Linked DNA regions of Coturnix japonica. The protein of the gene in region 1 purifies or fractionates together with the protein of each later gene. This does not show direct contact. Links are inferred from orthologs where the notes say so. Each region holds a gene or a part of one and is shown on either strand. Other genes may lie near its edges.

Region 1 (8,345 bases):
AGTTCACCAAAGGCTTTCGGCATTATCCCTCCCACCCTCACCCCAGGCACAGCTCTGCTTTGGAAGGCACTTCCAAGAGTTACAGCTGTTTGTTGGCTCCTGCAAACACAAAGTGCTGTCTTAAAAGAGGCATCATGAAATAAGAACCAGCACAAACCTTGGTTCTATTAAACAACATCAAATCACCGCTACGCAAATGCCAACACCATCCATAAAGTACATCAGCAGCAGTGCAAAATACACTAGAAGAAGTCTTCCATTTACAACTGAAGAACTGCTTGTAATCTAGTACATGAAAACTCTTCTGTTCTGATAGTCCAAGTGTGCAGCTAATATCCTAGACTGGAAGCCTTCAGTGTGACCTGCAGACCGTTTCTCATCTACTCCTACAGAGGCACACAGTTAAAATCCAGAAGGTCCTGATCTTACACAAGGAAACATCACAAGAAAGGCAGATCTCAGCCAATTAAGAACCGTGATTAAGGAGGACATCTTGAAAACACAAAGTCTGCTCTGATAACAAGCTTCACTTACAGTCTATCAAAAGCCGCATCCATGTGGATGGATGGATTCATGTATTGTTTCTAAACATCATTAAGACTAATTGGTTAGATAGATATTCACTGTGCTCAGAATTCAGTTCTCAATATTCTATTCTCACATCCAATACAAGCGTGACCATCTCAAACACACCTTAAAGCTTCACGTCAGCCAAATAATTTCCTGTTACATGACACCTAATTCTGCGAACGTTCTGTGCGGTATGAAGTCAAACATCCAGGAGATGACAGATCTCAGGAGACATCTGAAATACAAGAATACAAGAGGACTTGGTTAGCACACAGACCTACCTATAGACCGAGCTGGAAGCCTCCACCCAGAGCAGATGTATTAACAGATTCAACATTCCCCTTTTCCTGATGTTTGTTTTTCATGTCCATCCCCTGTGTCCTCAGCCACTGCAGTTAATCCCGCTGTAGAAAGCGCAGAGCTTCCATCTGATTTGTACTGATCTCAAACCAAAGTACGTCTCCCCCTTATTAAATCTCTGACTAAATACTAAAAGCAGCATTAACTGCTGAAAACAAAGCTATAAAGGACAATAGCAGCGGGTCACAATTCAGTGCTTTCTTATTACGGGAGAGTTACACTTCCATTTTGTTGGCAGTCTCTTTTTTTGTGGGTTTGTTTTTCTCTTTTTAATCACCATTAGAAGTTAACAACCGCTGAAATGAGATGTTACGACACATTAGGAGGGACTAAATACAACCACTTACTTAGAAACCAATACCATTTGGTAAAACGAGAGTAAGCAGATCAACAGTTACATAATAGATGACATCTCCCACACAACACTAATCAAAACCAAGCAAACAAGCCCAAAATAATGAGCTCCAAAGAAAAACTCACATGAATACAGCCAGCAAATTTAATTAATCTGAACGCTATGATCATCAGTTGAAGGCAAATACCAACTCCAGATAAACACAGTAATATATGTGATAGAAATTCAGTTAATTTCTCGATGACCAAAGTTGAAGGTTTCTTTCTAAAAAGGCCGAACACAAACACGCAGTTTATCTGTGTTTGGACTCGATGCCTAAAACACGAGGCTTGTTTCTGTTTAGATCTCAGCCACCCTTGCAGAAGATGAGGAAAACCAGATGTCACGCTCTGAATAAAAACATACCGCTGAGTCAGACGTCAGAACTTAAAAACACTTAAACCTGTCCAGCAACCGAGGAATATTACATTAAAATTTGTACGTTTGACATTCAGTTCTAGTAATTATCCCCTGGACCTCCCTAATAGTGGTTGACCATAAATTAGATCGTGGTTAGATGCAGACATTCACCGTTTGGTGGAGAAAAACCATCTGCCTGCAAATGAAACAAGGAAACACGCTCTGCACATCAGCTATTGAGCAGCTTCCCTCTCATTAATGGGGAGCCACTTTGGGATGGAGTTAAGGATGCCTTTGGTAGACGTGCGTGCAACTGGGTACGACTTCAAGCACAAAGAAGCCATACAAGCTATGGTGGCTTCATCCAGCTCTTCCTGAGATACTGGCTAGACAGCAAAGTGTCACGGCGGAAAAAAAGCCAAAGTGATGGCACACAGCACTGCTCAACACAGCGCAAAGGGCTGTGTGTGTATATACACAGGTTACCAGCAACTCAAGCTAACCACAGAATCACAGAATGGCCTGGGTTGCAAAGGACCATGATGATCATCCAGTTCCAACCCCCTGCTGTGTGCAGGTCACCAACCAGCAGCCCAGGCTGCCCAGAGCCACATCCAGCCTGGCCTTGAATCCTGCAGGGATGGGGCATCCACAGCCTCCCTGGGCAAATATTATTGTTCCTATAAAGGCTACTCAAAACTCAAACCAAATGATGCCAAACCAAAGCATCAGAACTTGAAATTTCAGTATCTGGTAACAAAGCAATGGTAAGCACGACCCAAATGTCACTGCACGCTGGCTTCTATGCTGATGGGGAACTGCAGGCTCTTTGCTCACTGACAGCTTCAGAAAGTCCTATTTACACTTCAAAAATAGACACAAGTTCATCCTTGCAGCCCCCCCACCCCCAGCCAGCAGGCATCACACCTGCCATTTGTTTTGTCCCTAGCCCTCATTACTTCCAGCGTCTGCAACTCAGCCTCAAAGTATCCTTGTCTTAAGAACCAGCAGGCCAGATGATATCAGGAAAAATTCAAATACCCAAAGGGAAAAATGCCAACTTAATTATACCTGCTGCATAGCAGGAGATGCAAAGAGCTGCAATCTCGTCTGGTTTGCAGACAAGATGCTACATACCAGGAACTCCATTCTGTATTAACACACACTGTATCAACCTCTCACATTTCTTGATTAAATAAATGCAACCTACAACTGTTTCCGCATTCTTGAGCCCATCCTGAAGTCTGGTCCTTCTCTGGATTTCATTGCGTGCATCCACGTGGTTTCAGAATAGTAGCAATGCAGTTTTTCTTCTGAAGCATTGGGCTGTTAGACACCAAAGGGACGAGTCCTGTTTGCAACCTCCTGTTCCAAAGAGGTTCCAAGAGAATCAAATCCATCCGTGAGAGCAACTGATGCAAATGAATTAAAGCCTCCCGAAGTTGACAAGTGTTACAGGCACAAAAATCAATCAAACCCTCTGCAGTCTGCAGCGCTGTCAGCTGTGTAAGAAGCGCCACGAAAAAGCAAAGAGCCTGAATTACAAGTGTTTGAAATCTCCATTAGGAGATGAAAGCTCCTTTTGGAGGTGGAACAAATTGCATTCGACTGACGTGTTAGAATTAGAATTGTGGTCTTTAATTGACGCTGGGGGTGTTCAAGGAAAGGCTGGATGTTGTGTTGAGGGACATGGGTTAGTGGGAGCTATTAAATAGGTGAATGGTTGGACTGGATGATCTTTTAGGTCTTTTCCAACCTTAGCAGTTGTTCCATCTTAGTACCAGGAGACTTGGATTCTAATTCATACAGTCAAAACGAGGATTACTTGTTGACATCAATTTTGAACAGCTCAAAATAACCCAGTCTTCAAGTTTGGGCAGCTGTGATGAAGGGGCAGGAGATTGCTAACAGAACTGCCAGCAGCGGTTGAACAGCTTTGCTGTCATTTGTAGCTGCACGTCATGCTGAAGGCTGCATTAATCTGAAATTCTACTTAATCTCAACTCTGTGCAAGCCCGATAGAGCAAAGAGAGGCTGCAAAGAGAAAGCTTAATGCCGAGGTTAATGCCACATGAACGAGTCGTTACACTGATGTTTCTGAACATACATTGAGCAATTAAAGTGAAAAAATAAGCTTCCTATACAATAACTATTTTCTGCTTACGTTACTGAGTTTATTTATGGACCTATCTTGCAAAGACAGATGGAAACACGGATTTAACTGCCTCTAAACAATCTACACACTGACATGTAATTAATATGGCCACGCACATCTAAACAAGACTTAAAATGCTGCCTTGACCAAGTTCAACTGGTCTCCAATTTAAGTCATGCTTCCACGATGAATCCCACTGATGCTTTTATGCTACCCAGTACTGCAATGGAATTCATACTTTCCATTATGCTTCTGAGAAAATCCTAATAGTACACCTGCTCCCCCAGTGAGATTTACACCACGTAATCCTATCCTATACAACCCTAACCCCTATCCTATACAAGGCAGTGCATCCAAAATCATTGCGTTTTAATGCTGTGATGGATATAAATCAGAAGTGATGCTCACATATGAAGTCACACTGAGACACCACACCAGCCGGCCTTGGGATAGAGGCAAATAAAAGACTATAAGAACACTTCCATCATCACCTGCATCCCCCCTCTATGGGCGACCACTTAAAGCACGACCAGCCTTCACAAACCTCTCCCACAGGACACAACAGGAACCCCCAAGGATTCCAGAACAACTTTCCAGCATTGTTAGCCCTGAATGTCGCCGCTGTGACACAAAGTTCTCAGCACCCACCATGGAGGAGCCCAGGCTTCAACCACCTACTATGGGCGACCCGGGGGGGGCTCCATATCGCAGTGGGGGTGTACCTGAGCCTGGTGGGAGCTGCTGTAGAGTGGGAGTGTGAAGGCACAGCCCTAAATGGTCGAGGTTTAGAGCTACTGACTGTACTTATAATAATAAGAAGAAGCGAAGCACTGGCTCAGCTCAAAGGAACGAGCTCTGTTTGTGATGTACGCCCAGCCGAGTGCCAGCAATAGGCGGTATGATATGAGACCTCCAACACAGCACACGGAGCCAGGCAGCCCCCCCAACCCCCATAAATAAATACATTAATTAATTAATTAAACCACAAAATATGAAGAAAATAACTAAGAGGCAACTCCAGCAGCCCCCAGTACCGCAGCACAACAGATAGGAGCTCACCATAACAGCCCGGCCGTGCTGCCTTTGTACACCAGCCCCACGACCCCCGGGCCCGCTCCTCCCCCCTCCCTCAATAGTAGCCGAGCCCCATCCCGTGGTCAGCCCCCTCCCCCCATTACCGGAGCTGGGTTTACCTGTCCGCCCCACGGGAGCCGTCCGTCCTTCACTCCGCGCCGCCCCCCCCGACCCGCTGGCTGAGTTGCGCTCCCCCCGCTCACGACATGGTACGTCCCAAGGCGGCGGGTTGCCGCGGCCGCGGGCGCTCCCACTCGGCACGGCCGCGGGGGGGGGGAGGGGAGGGGGGGGTAAATCCCTTGGCCCCGCTCCCGGCCTCCTCTAATGGCGGCGGCTGGAGCGGCCCAAAGCAAAATAAACCCCCATACGGCCAGCGGACCGCACGTCAGCACGGCATGCCGGCATGCCCCGCGCCCATTGGACGACAGAACGACTCCCGCTCCGCCAATCGCCGCGCGCCTCTTTGGAGAGAACGGATGACGTCATCCCTAACACAAGTGGGCGGGGCTAAGGGTGAGGGGGCGGGGCTATCTTTGGCCACGCCCCCTCGGTGCTCACCTTGGTGCTCCTGTATCCCGTTATTCTGTGCTTTTTTTGGCACAAAAAGCCGAATTAAGCACAGTTTGTGGAGGATATTTGAATTTTCCATCCTTACATCACCCGTCTGAGTCAGCACCAGCCCTCGCAGCTGCTAATTTCATGCTCTTGTTCCCATTTTGGGGTGAAATGTATAAATATCCAAGTGCAGCTCTGTCACTGATATAGCTCTTATATAGCACCATATAGACATCATATAGCTAACATATAGCTCTCATATAGCCATCATATAGCTCTTATATAGCTCTCATATAACTCATATAACTCTCATATAGCTCTCATATAGCTATCATATAGCTATCATATAGCTATCATATAGGTATCATACAGCCATCATAACTATCATATAGCTATCATATAGCTACCATATAGCTCTCATATAGCCATCATATAGCCATCATATAGGTATTGTATAGCTATCATACAGCCATCATATAGCCATCATATTGCTATCATATAGCTATGATATAGCTATCATATAACTCTCATATAGCTACCATATAGCCATCATATAGTTATCAAATAGCCATCATATAGCTACCATATAGCTCTCATATAGTTTTCATATAGCTATCATATAGCTACCATATAGCTCTCATATAGTTCTCATATAGCTATCATATAGCTAACATACAGCTCTCATATAGCCATCATATAGTTATCATATAGCCATCATATAGCTCTCATATAGCTATCATATAGTTCTTATATAGCCATCACATAGCTCTCATATAGCCATCATATAGCTATCATACATCATATAGCTATCATATAGATCTCATATAGCCATTATATAGCTATCATATAGCCATCATATAGCTCTCATATAGTTATCATACAGCCATCATATAGGTATCATGTAGCTATCATATAGGTATCATATAGCTATCATACAGCCATCATAACTATCATATAGCCATCATGTAGCTCTCCTATAGCTCTCATATAGCCATCATATAGCTATCATATAGCTCTCATATAGCTCTCATATAGCTAACACATAGCTAACATATAGCCATCATATAGCCATCATATAGCTCTCATATAGCTACCATACAGTTCTCATATAGCCATCATATAGCTACCATATAGCTATCATCATATAGCCATCATATACCTATCATATAGCTAGGAGCAACTGTGCAGAAATAGGAAAGGAGCGAGTGCTGAGTTGTTAGCTCCTCAGTCCCTCTGTTTCACTAGCAGCAAGGAAGGAGCTTAAAAGCTGAGAGCACTTGAAAGCATGCACTGTATTTGTCTTCATTTCCTTGTGGTTCTGCAGGGAGCAGAAGAAGGGGGTGGTGGAGTCAATCCATCACGTTAGGGCTTTCCAGCTGAAGAGTTTGAGCCACCTGATGTGGGAATCTTAGAAACTTCCCTTGGTTGGGCAGATATTTGGTAGGTAAAAGAGACAAGAGAAAAGCAAAGCACACAAAGGAAGATGGAAAAGCAGGAGGCGATGGTGATGGATATAATCCAGTGTTCTCATTCAGGCTCTGGGAGGATGCAGGATCTGCCTGTCCCAGATGGCAGGCACAGCATGGCTGCTGCAGTGGCTTTGAGCATGCATCAGCAGGTCTGTCATAGCACAAGGAGGCAGCAGGGGGGTGGGAAGGGGGGGTATAGAGAAGAGGAGAAAAAGAAGGAGAAAATAAGGGAAAATGAGGAGCTGAATGTTAAAAACAAAAGGGAAAGAAAAATAAAAGATGGAAATGCAAAGACATTTGTGAGGACTTAGACAAAAAGAGAAAAAATGTATTGAAATCCATAAGCTAATTGCTGCTGAGGAGCTCAGGCTGAAAGGGTCTGGATTGCTTTGTGCAATGGCCAACACGTCGCTTATCCCCAACAATAACACATTTAACCACTACCAAGCACCTGCAACTCCGAAGTGTTGACAGAAAGAGTAATACGAACTCCTCCAACTCTGCTAAGTGAGTGTGGGTAAAAATACTGCATTCATACAACCTCTGGCTTAGGTGCCGAGCTCAGGTAGCTCCCCACTCTGAGCACAAACAACACTGAGAGGCAGCACCTCTCCCCAGATATTGCCTATAAATCATAGATGCTAAACTCCACAGCCAGAAACTTGGCTGGGAAGTTCAGACTCGTGCATTTTCCTCCTTTAAGGGAGCATACCGCTCCTCCTACATAGCAACTCAGTGTTATCGGGTGGCATTAGCACTCCCCCAGTCAGACACCATGTCAGCAGCACTCAGCATTTGGTGAAAGTGAGAGGGGGATTTATTGTAAAAGAAGGCTACGCAGGAACGTAAAAGGCAACAGAGAACAGACACAGCTCACAGAATGCAGTATGTCATGCCAGGCGTAATCACTGCCAGCTAATCAGATTATTCGATGAGACAGAGGGAGCAAAATCCATCTTCCAGTTGACGTAATCCGCTGATAGACTTCTGAAGGGTTCTGAAGAACTCCTTTTGTTTCAGAAGCCATTCCCTTCACTTCTCATTGAGGCGTCTTGGTTTTTCATTGGCAAACCTAAGACGAGGTTTGTTTTGGTTTTGATTGCTTTCATTCCTACCTTTAAAAGAAGAGGATTCGGTCATTATACAGCTATTGTTTACCTGTATCAATCATCACAGAAGCTGCTATATCTTCATTTTGGTGGAGGCTATGCCAAAATCATGGGTAGATTAGAATAGAATAATTGCAGTGTAGCTCTGTCTGGGATCACTGTCTCTCACTGCACAAAGAAATGCTGAAGCAAAGCTAAGACATTTATCGAGCAGCAGGTGCTCATTAGCTTGTTGTCAGTACTCTCCCATTGATAGCTCCTACGTGGATATTTTGTAGGTAAGCAACATTATAAATAGA
Region 2 (7,633 bases), on another chromosome or scaffold:
AGGGCGTGGTCTTTCCAGTGCCCAGCCTATGACATCCTTTAAAAAAAAATAATTATCATCAAGAAATAGCATACATCTGTCTTTCTACTCCTTACCCTTGGAGGCACCTCGTCACTGTCTGATCTAGCCCAAGCCTTTTGGGTGGGGTCGGGTACCTCCGACTTAGAGTCAGAACTCTGATTTAGCACTTCACTGCGTGAAGGTGGATATGGGTCCTGGGAACGAAGATGGTGATGAGCAAATTTGGGAGAAGGGTCACTGAAGGAATGGGATCGCGAGACAGGGGAAACATTGTTCTTGAGAGATGCCAGATGGGACCACTGTACCTTACAAGAAAACAAAACATAAAACATTCAATGCGCTCAGAATAACCGGCTGTCCAATTAACACAGAATAAAGGCAGGTGGGGTGGGCAGAGACAAATTGTTATGGCATTAGGTAAGCGTGGGGTGGAATCAATGCACTTAAAAGCAAGGCAAGCGCCCAGAGAACGCAACAGACTGAAAATACAGCACATATGCATTTTTGCGAGCTACGCTCTCCACATACACATACACTAGTGCCCAAAAGAAAAGGGGACCTAATATCTGCACCATGAGCATGGGGTCAAAGGCCACACAAGACAGGAGCCAACTTCTGCTCCCCAGTCCTCAGTGGGCTTTGGCCAGATCTCATGGCGGCACCAATGGGTTGGGAAAATTGAAGTGGTTATCCAATTGAAGAAATGTGCAAAATTAAAGAAGGCCATAAAGTGTGCAAACCAACAGACATTTATGTTATCTAAAAAAATTTGGAAACTAGATACAGTTCCAAACTTTTGGAGAATGACCATAACATAAAAGCCTTTATTCCTTTAGAGTCGTTGCAATATATATACAGAAACATAATATATATTGTATTGTTGTATACAGTATACATATGGGCAATGCATATTATACATATGCCATATATGTACCATATACTGTACATATACACATATTCATAAACAAACTAAACACACACGTACACATGCACATATTCAATTACAGATATTGAGAAGGCACAGCAGTGACTCCAGAGGTAAAAACCCTTGGGGATTTTCCTTGAAATCCATACTGATCCTCCACTCCAGCCTACTCCCTCCTTGTGCATAAGCGCACATTTCAAAGTTAATTTCTGAAGCCAAGGAGGAGAAAAGATCAAAACTGAAGAACACACTGCATCTGCACCTAGTAATTAATCGAAACTTCACTTTCAATGTCATTATCAGTAGGTTGGCTGTACGTATTTTTATATGGTTATTATTTCCTCAATTTTTATACACACAGCTGTTGAAGAGTCTGATTATTCTTAATGTGAGTGGAAGGCCAGACTTTAAAAGTAACTGGCACAGAGAACACAAAAATACAAGTGCAGTACTTTGAAATAATCATGGAGGTTTGAATAAAAGCCAGGAATTAATGAGTCAGAATGAAGTTCTGTCCTGATTTCTCCCACTCTCTCGTCTGCTCAAATTCTCCTGTCACCCAAACGAGTTGCAATGCCTAGTCACAATCAGGAACAGGTTTAGCTTGCGCTGTCATCAACTGACTTATTTGGGAGAAAGAAATTCTGCATGGAAACAGACAAACTTAATATAGAAGCACACTTTTAACATAGCATATCTCAACTGCTTGGGTTATTTATAAGTTTTAGACTTCAGATTATTTTTTAAATTCATACTGTAAGTCCTATGAGATATAGTTACCAAGTTCTGGAGGTTTTCATTAGCAAACAACAGGATGACAGCAGTCACATTGCTCAGTGGTTCCAACCTCTTTTTGATTTTCCAGGGGTGGTAACAGAGCTTTATTTAGCAAGTATAAGCCCACTGACAACAAACTTGCTTTTCTTAGTCGTGTCTTGTGGATTTCTTTAAAGCAATGCTTATTCTGCTAAAAAACATGTTTGTTTGGTTTTTTTGTTCCCCAAAGAGCTTAGAAGACTAAATCAGCTCACTTCTTTCCTCAACATTCTTTTTGATAACAAATACTATGCACAGATCAAATTCTGAATTATAGAAGTGTACTGCACCTATGACCAATATTTAGCTGACTATTCCACTCTTGCACAGATAATAACAGAACAACAGTTTTCTTTAAAAACAAAGCAGAAATCTACCCGTTTATCAAATCAGTAAGCAAAACCATACAAAGTTAATCTAGTAAATAAGCTATTTTGAGTGAGAATGTTACTCTTTAAGTAAGACTTTCTCTGTGCCAAGATCTGAAAAAATGAAGGAAACATGTTAGGACTTCTTGCACTTCCTCCAGGCTCACCAATATTTCCCTGGGCACTTACTTGGGGCTCCATTGGCCTCTGCAGGGCAGGCTGAGCAGGTTCTGAGTTTCCATTGGAAAAGGACTCTGATCTTGAAGGCACTGGTGGCTCCAACACTTTGCCCATCTGCTTAGACTGTGCTTCAGGGGAGCCCTGATTAGTTTTTCTAAATCTCTCCTCCACCTAAGAAAAAAATACCAAAAAAAAACAAAACAGGTTATATCTGGAGTCAGTAAAACCAACAGCAGTAGAAGTAAGAAGGTGACTACTCTCTTCTTTTGCCATATAGAAATGAAATATATTTGAGGCCTGGCAGGGTTTTCATCCCTGCAGGTTTCACCAGCAATTTAAGCACAGTGAACTGCATCAAAATGTCAAGCATGCCAACATGGGAAATACATACCAGGAAAGAGCTTACAGTGGCCAGTATGCTGTGAAGTAATAGGAAAGACCTATCAGGGAGCTTCCTGCTGTCTAGACTAGTTAGCACCCATCAGCAGACATAGACAACAAAAGGGATATGTGAAAGTAGAAACAACTTTACAATTTCAAAATACTTTTCCCATTGTTATTCCTTGCTACAAGTAGAAGCCCCACTAACCTAAAGGGAAGTATGTTATTCAGTTATATGCTTTCCTCTGTGTGTCCCTTTGGCAATGTGAGAAGAGATAGATGCATATGCTTCTCTATCTGGTAATACTTGAGGCAGTTCGGCTTTAGGTATGAAGCTGTAGGACTACTCAAACTCTCTCTTATCAGATGGTCCTGAAACAACATCAAAAAGCTGCACTCTGACCTCAGACTGCAGAGAACAGCCCCTGCAACTTACTTCTGCTTCTCAGAGACACGTAGAAGTGACTGTATGCTAACCCAGAGAGTTCTGCGAAGGGAAGACTTTATCAGAAAGTGCAGAGCCCTCAAAAGAATATCAAGCAAGCTCCCCATGCAGAAATGTCACCTCTTTAAAGCCTGTGGCATCGAGAACAAAGAGAGCAGTATGGAGGGAAAGAGATGGAAGGAAGCTATAGGCAGAAAGGAAATATCCTCCCATTTCCCACAATGAGCCACTGCTGGAATCACAGCAGTGTGTGCTGTGCCTTGTAGTCAGAAGAGTGGCCACTGAGGAACACTAAACTCCCAGCACTTTACCAAGTGTTAAAGATGAAACTGGAAGCTGGGGCTGATTTTATTTGCTGAGATGCTGCTCATATGGTCTGCTTTAACTCTTGTACCCAGAGCATGAAACCATTATTTGGGTAGTTTCCTAATTGCTCCTAAGCAATGTTGGCATGATGAAAATATTTCTATATCAAGGTCAGAAGACAGATGTGAGTCTCCAGGACTCCTTAACAAGGCTGCTTTACAAGCCCAACCTGCCTCTGCTTTCCAAAATTAGAGGACAATAACAGTTTGCCAATGGGAGCAACCAGACAAGCTTCTGCCAAGTCCATACAAAATACACCATGTCTAGAGAAATAAAGCAATAATGAAGTCAAGTATCTTCACCATACAGTCATTTTCAATATCATGTCAGTCTCACAGGCCAAACTCCTCTTATCAGTCTCCTTCTTAGGAACAGAATAAGGAAAAGCCCCAAGCCTTTCTGTCTGAAGGAACAGGCTTTCATGTCCCTAGCTGTAAATGACAGGAGGTTTCCTCCACAAAGAACATAAACTGCACAAGCCACGTGTTCTCAAAGACTGGCAAGACATGGGAAAGAGACAGTTCATCCCTGGATAGAAATAATCCCTGTTGCAGTCATCTGACTGTCTGGACCAGAAAACAGTATTAACTTTCATTTCTTGCTCTAAGCTTCCTTCTGTTTCCTAGAGCCAATTTTAGAAATCATCTTCCTTATATACTCATTGGAGCTGGAATAAGGAAAAATAAAGCCCTGGTCATCATTAGACTTAGCCAGAACTGGAAAGTTAGCTAACGCTGGATTATCATCTTGATGGTCAACATCTCAGTGGATGAAGACTTCCTCTGAACTGAAATCTTTGTGGAAGTATGAGGCACAGAATACTTGCTCCAAGTCAGTAATTCATGTCAAAAATTACATCAGCTGATGCTTGCTTTTAAGACTAACTGGTGTCGCTCCCACTGCCAGACAACGAGGTATTATGGCTATACTCCTACTGTACGTTTTAAAAGAGAATATTACATAGCAGACTCCAAGAAAATCTGACTACTAACACATTTTTTCCTTTGCCTTCACTTTATTCTTTCTACCTAGCACGATCATAATAGGAAAAGATGACATTAAAAGAGCTGAGTCAGCAGTTCTGTTAAAGGACTTGGAATCTTTAGTTCTTCTTCTTTTCAACTCTGAAAGGAAAAAGGCAGAGGAAGAATGGAGATGGTTCTCTGCCCCTCCAAAACCCTCCCTCTGGTGGGATAGGAGTGCTGGACCGGCACTACGCTTTCACCAAGGCAGACCAGAAATGAGCACGAGGAAAAGAGGGCGGGTTCCACACCTGCACCACAACATGCTGGACGAGTCTGAACCTCTTCCAGGAGAAATGCACATACCAAATACTTCAGCCAAGAGCAGATGAGATAGCAGACTGTGGTTTATGAAGAACTTGGACAATAGTATCTCTAAGAAAATGAGGTTTTGCTCATCAAGTCCCAACAGCAATACTTCAAAGGCAGTGAAACACTAGTGGACACAGGTGGACTGAAAGCTATTTTGTAATGTTCAACAACCACAACTATTTAATTTTTTTTTGGTTCTTGTTCCAAAATGTATTTACCTAATACCCACACACTGGTGATGAATGCCATTAAGAGTTTTGATCAGCGCTGCCCAATCTAGCAGCTTACAGGCAGCATGATGTCCAAGGGAAACATAAGAAAAGGACTGCTGAAAAAGCCAAGTATGCATCAAAGAGATAGTTACTTGCTTAGTGACGTTGACCACGGACCAGTGAAGGCAGGGGACTATTCACTGAGACAAACAGTACTCTGATGATTTCAGATGGATTTGTGAGTGCCTGAAGTTAAAGATGGAAGCACCACAGAGTTTCATAAAAGCAAGCTGTGATCTCAGCAGGTAAAACTCATCAGAAATGAAACTAACTCACTTCAGGCTTGTACTTATCTGAAGCAAATTTTTAAGACCGTGGGCTAAAGCATCTACAGGTGTTGTGTGCATTCATCCCTTATGGGTCTCCATTTTCCAATTCCCTCCAAATTTCCCCTTTTCAGTACCTGCCAGCAACACAGCCTGACAACTGCATTAGTACTTCCTGTGAAGACACCTGATAAAGTCCAGATGAGATTACCTCCCTGACTGGATTCTTCCAGTATCAGGTCCCCCTCAGTCTGCAGCACTTCAGAAATTCCTTCAACCTTTTACATCTAAAAACAGTCACTTACAATGACAGCAGAAGTAACCAGAAGCATTCCTTGGGTTGGGAAACCAGAAACCAACACTTGAAAACATCCTTTCCCTCAATCACGACACCTTGGTCTCCGTACATAGTGCAGTAGAGCCACAGCTACCACGATGCCAACAGGTGCAGGGATGGGGGAGCAAGTAGCATATTCCTCTCCATGAGCAGGACTTACCTCACGCGCTCTTTCAGCAGGTTCATAGTGGGATTTTGGCTCAGGGGCATGATAGCTTTGTTTATTTCTTTCCTGCTGCTGCTGCTGTTGCTGCTGCTGTTGTTGCTGCTGCTGCTGCTGCTGCTGCTGCTGCCGCCTGTGATCATGCTGCAGTGACAGGAGGTAGGCTTGCTCCTGCTGCAACTGGCGTTGGAGCCGCTCTGCCTGTCGATGCTCCTCCATCTCCCGCCATCTGTATTCCTTTGAGAGAATGTGTGAGTAATTCAAGACATGGCATGGAATATATGGTAGACATGTTCCTATCCATCCCATTAAAACTGGACATTTCTGGTTGCTGTTGCTTTATTTTTTTTATTTATTTCATTGTTAAAGTGTAACCAAAAGCTAAGCTGGATCAATATGACATGCGTCTCATGTTGGGAAAGCTGAGAATATACTGCTACGCTTCACATGATTGGAGAATTATGTCAAAACTGATTTTTGTTAAAAGAAAAAAGAACAAAGTTACTTATACTAGATTCAGTGTAAGTTCATAAAACAATGATTTAGAACAACACTAGGCCATTGTATCCTGGGGTGGATTTACATATCATGTGTGCTTTTGATCTGCAACACAAGCACTCTAGTTCTTCAAGGTCTGTTCAGAAACTCGACCGCCAAACCAGAACTGTTCCACTTTAACATAAAGCCTCCTCTTACAGCCCAGAAAGCAGTGTGACCACACAGCACTTCTCATATGTGCCTGTCAGCCCACGACGCTAGCATAAATGGCCTTTTAATCAAGCTCCTTTGTTGTCATACTGTCAGTGCAGCTGTGCCCGACTGAGGGAAGCCCAGGACTGGCCAGATAAATGGATCCTATAGCTACTGAACAAAACAGATACAGTGCTTTACCAGTAACATGGCCTGCTCCTGGAGCAGCTGCTGCTGTAGAATTTCCAAGTGCCGCTGCTCCTCTTCTAGCTGTCGCCTGATATACTCCTGTCACATAGAAATTACCCAGCAATGAATTTATTCAAAAGGAATGCATCAGAACCCCCTGGGTGGCACACCGCACGCTACTTCCCCAGTTCAGCTTTAACGAGAAACGCACTTCAGGGTGGATTAGTGCCTGCAGAACAATTTAGGAAGCCCTGTCTCCTGAGCATCGTATTTTGGCCCCTTCCATTCCGAAATTTGGACTCCTGCAAATGTTGCCAGCATGAGCCAGAGCTCATTTACATATTTTGGAAGTGATTTCAAGAAGCAGCACAATGCACTTGAAGGTTTTGGTAAAGTTAAAACACAGCAAGTCTGACTCAACACAGCCAACACAAAGTCACATGCAAGTTGGATTAAACATTAGTTTGTTGCACCGGTGCGATGAACTGTTAGCAACAGCTAGAGCCAGGCTTAGTGCGGGCAGAGCTGGTGCAAGCTCCCCACAAAGGGGCTCTGCCAAATGCAGTTCAGCCCTGCCCTGCCTTCTCCCCTGCCGCCCTCACCAGAAGCTTCTCCTGAGCAGACGCTGCCAGCCTTGCTGAATTATGCGATGAGTTATGACACAAACAAACATCCACCAGGAAACAGATATTAGAACAAACTCGCTCGCTCTTGCGATCTAGCTGTCTGTTCACCTGCAGCCTTCACAGCTCAAGACATTTACCTGCAGCTTTGCCTGACCCCCCTACCACAACTCAAAGTCTGAAGCACCAAACCCAAGCTGGTAACATCCTATCATGCAATTAATGGAGATACGTAACACATGCATGCACGCACACAC

Evidence for each region. Proteins that work in one complex are often made in the same cells at the same time.
Region 2: the proteins of ZRANB1 (region 1) and MAP4K4 purify together in Homo sapiens (affinity purification with mass spectrometry; 3 studies listed by BioGRID and IntAct, with this or other methods). This does not show direct contact. The link is inferred for Coturnix japonica from reciprocal best matches to the Homo sapiens genes ZRANB1 and MAP4K4.

The regions. Positions count from the first base shown.
Region 1 is NC_029521.1:28,651,741-28,660,085, reverse strand, and holds the start of ZRANB1 (ubiquitin thioesterase ZRANB1), read right to left. Parts: upstream 5,325-8,345; 5' UTR 5,033-5,324; intron 3,014-5,032; exon of another isoform or gene 2,895-3,013; intron 806-2,894; exon of another isoform or gene 694-805; intron 1-693. UniProt on the Homo sapiens protein: Ubiquitin thioesterase, which specifically hydrolyzes 'Lys-29'-linked and 'Lys-33'-linked diubiquitin. Also cleaves 'Lys-63'-linked chains, but with 40-fold less efficiency compared to 'Lys-29'-linked ones.
Region 2 is NC_029516.1:120,471,034-120,478,666, reverse strand, and holds part of MAP4K4 (mitogen-activated protein kinase kinase kinase kinase 4), read right to left. Parts: intron 6,853-7,633; coding exon 6,766-6,852; intron 6,112-6,765; coding exon 5,872-6,111; intron 2,482-5,871; coding exon 2,320-2,481; intron 327-2,319; coding exon 96-326; intron 1-95.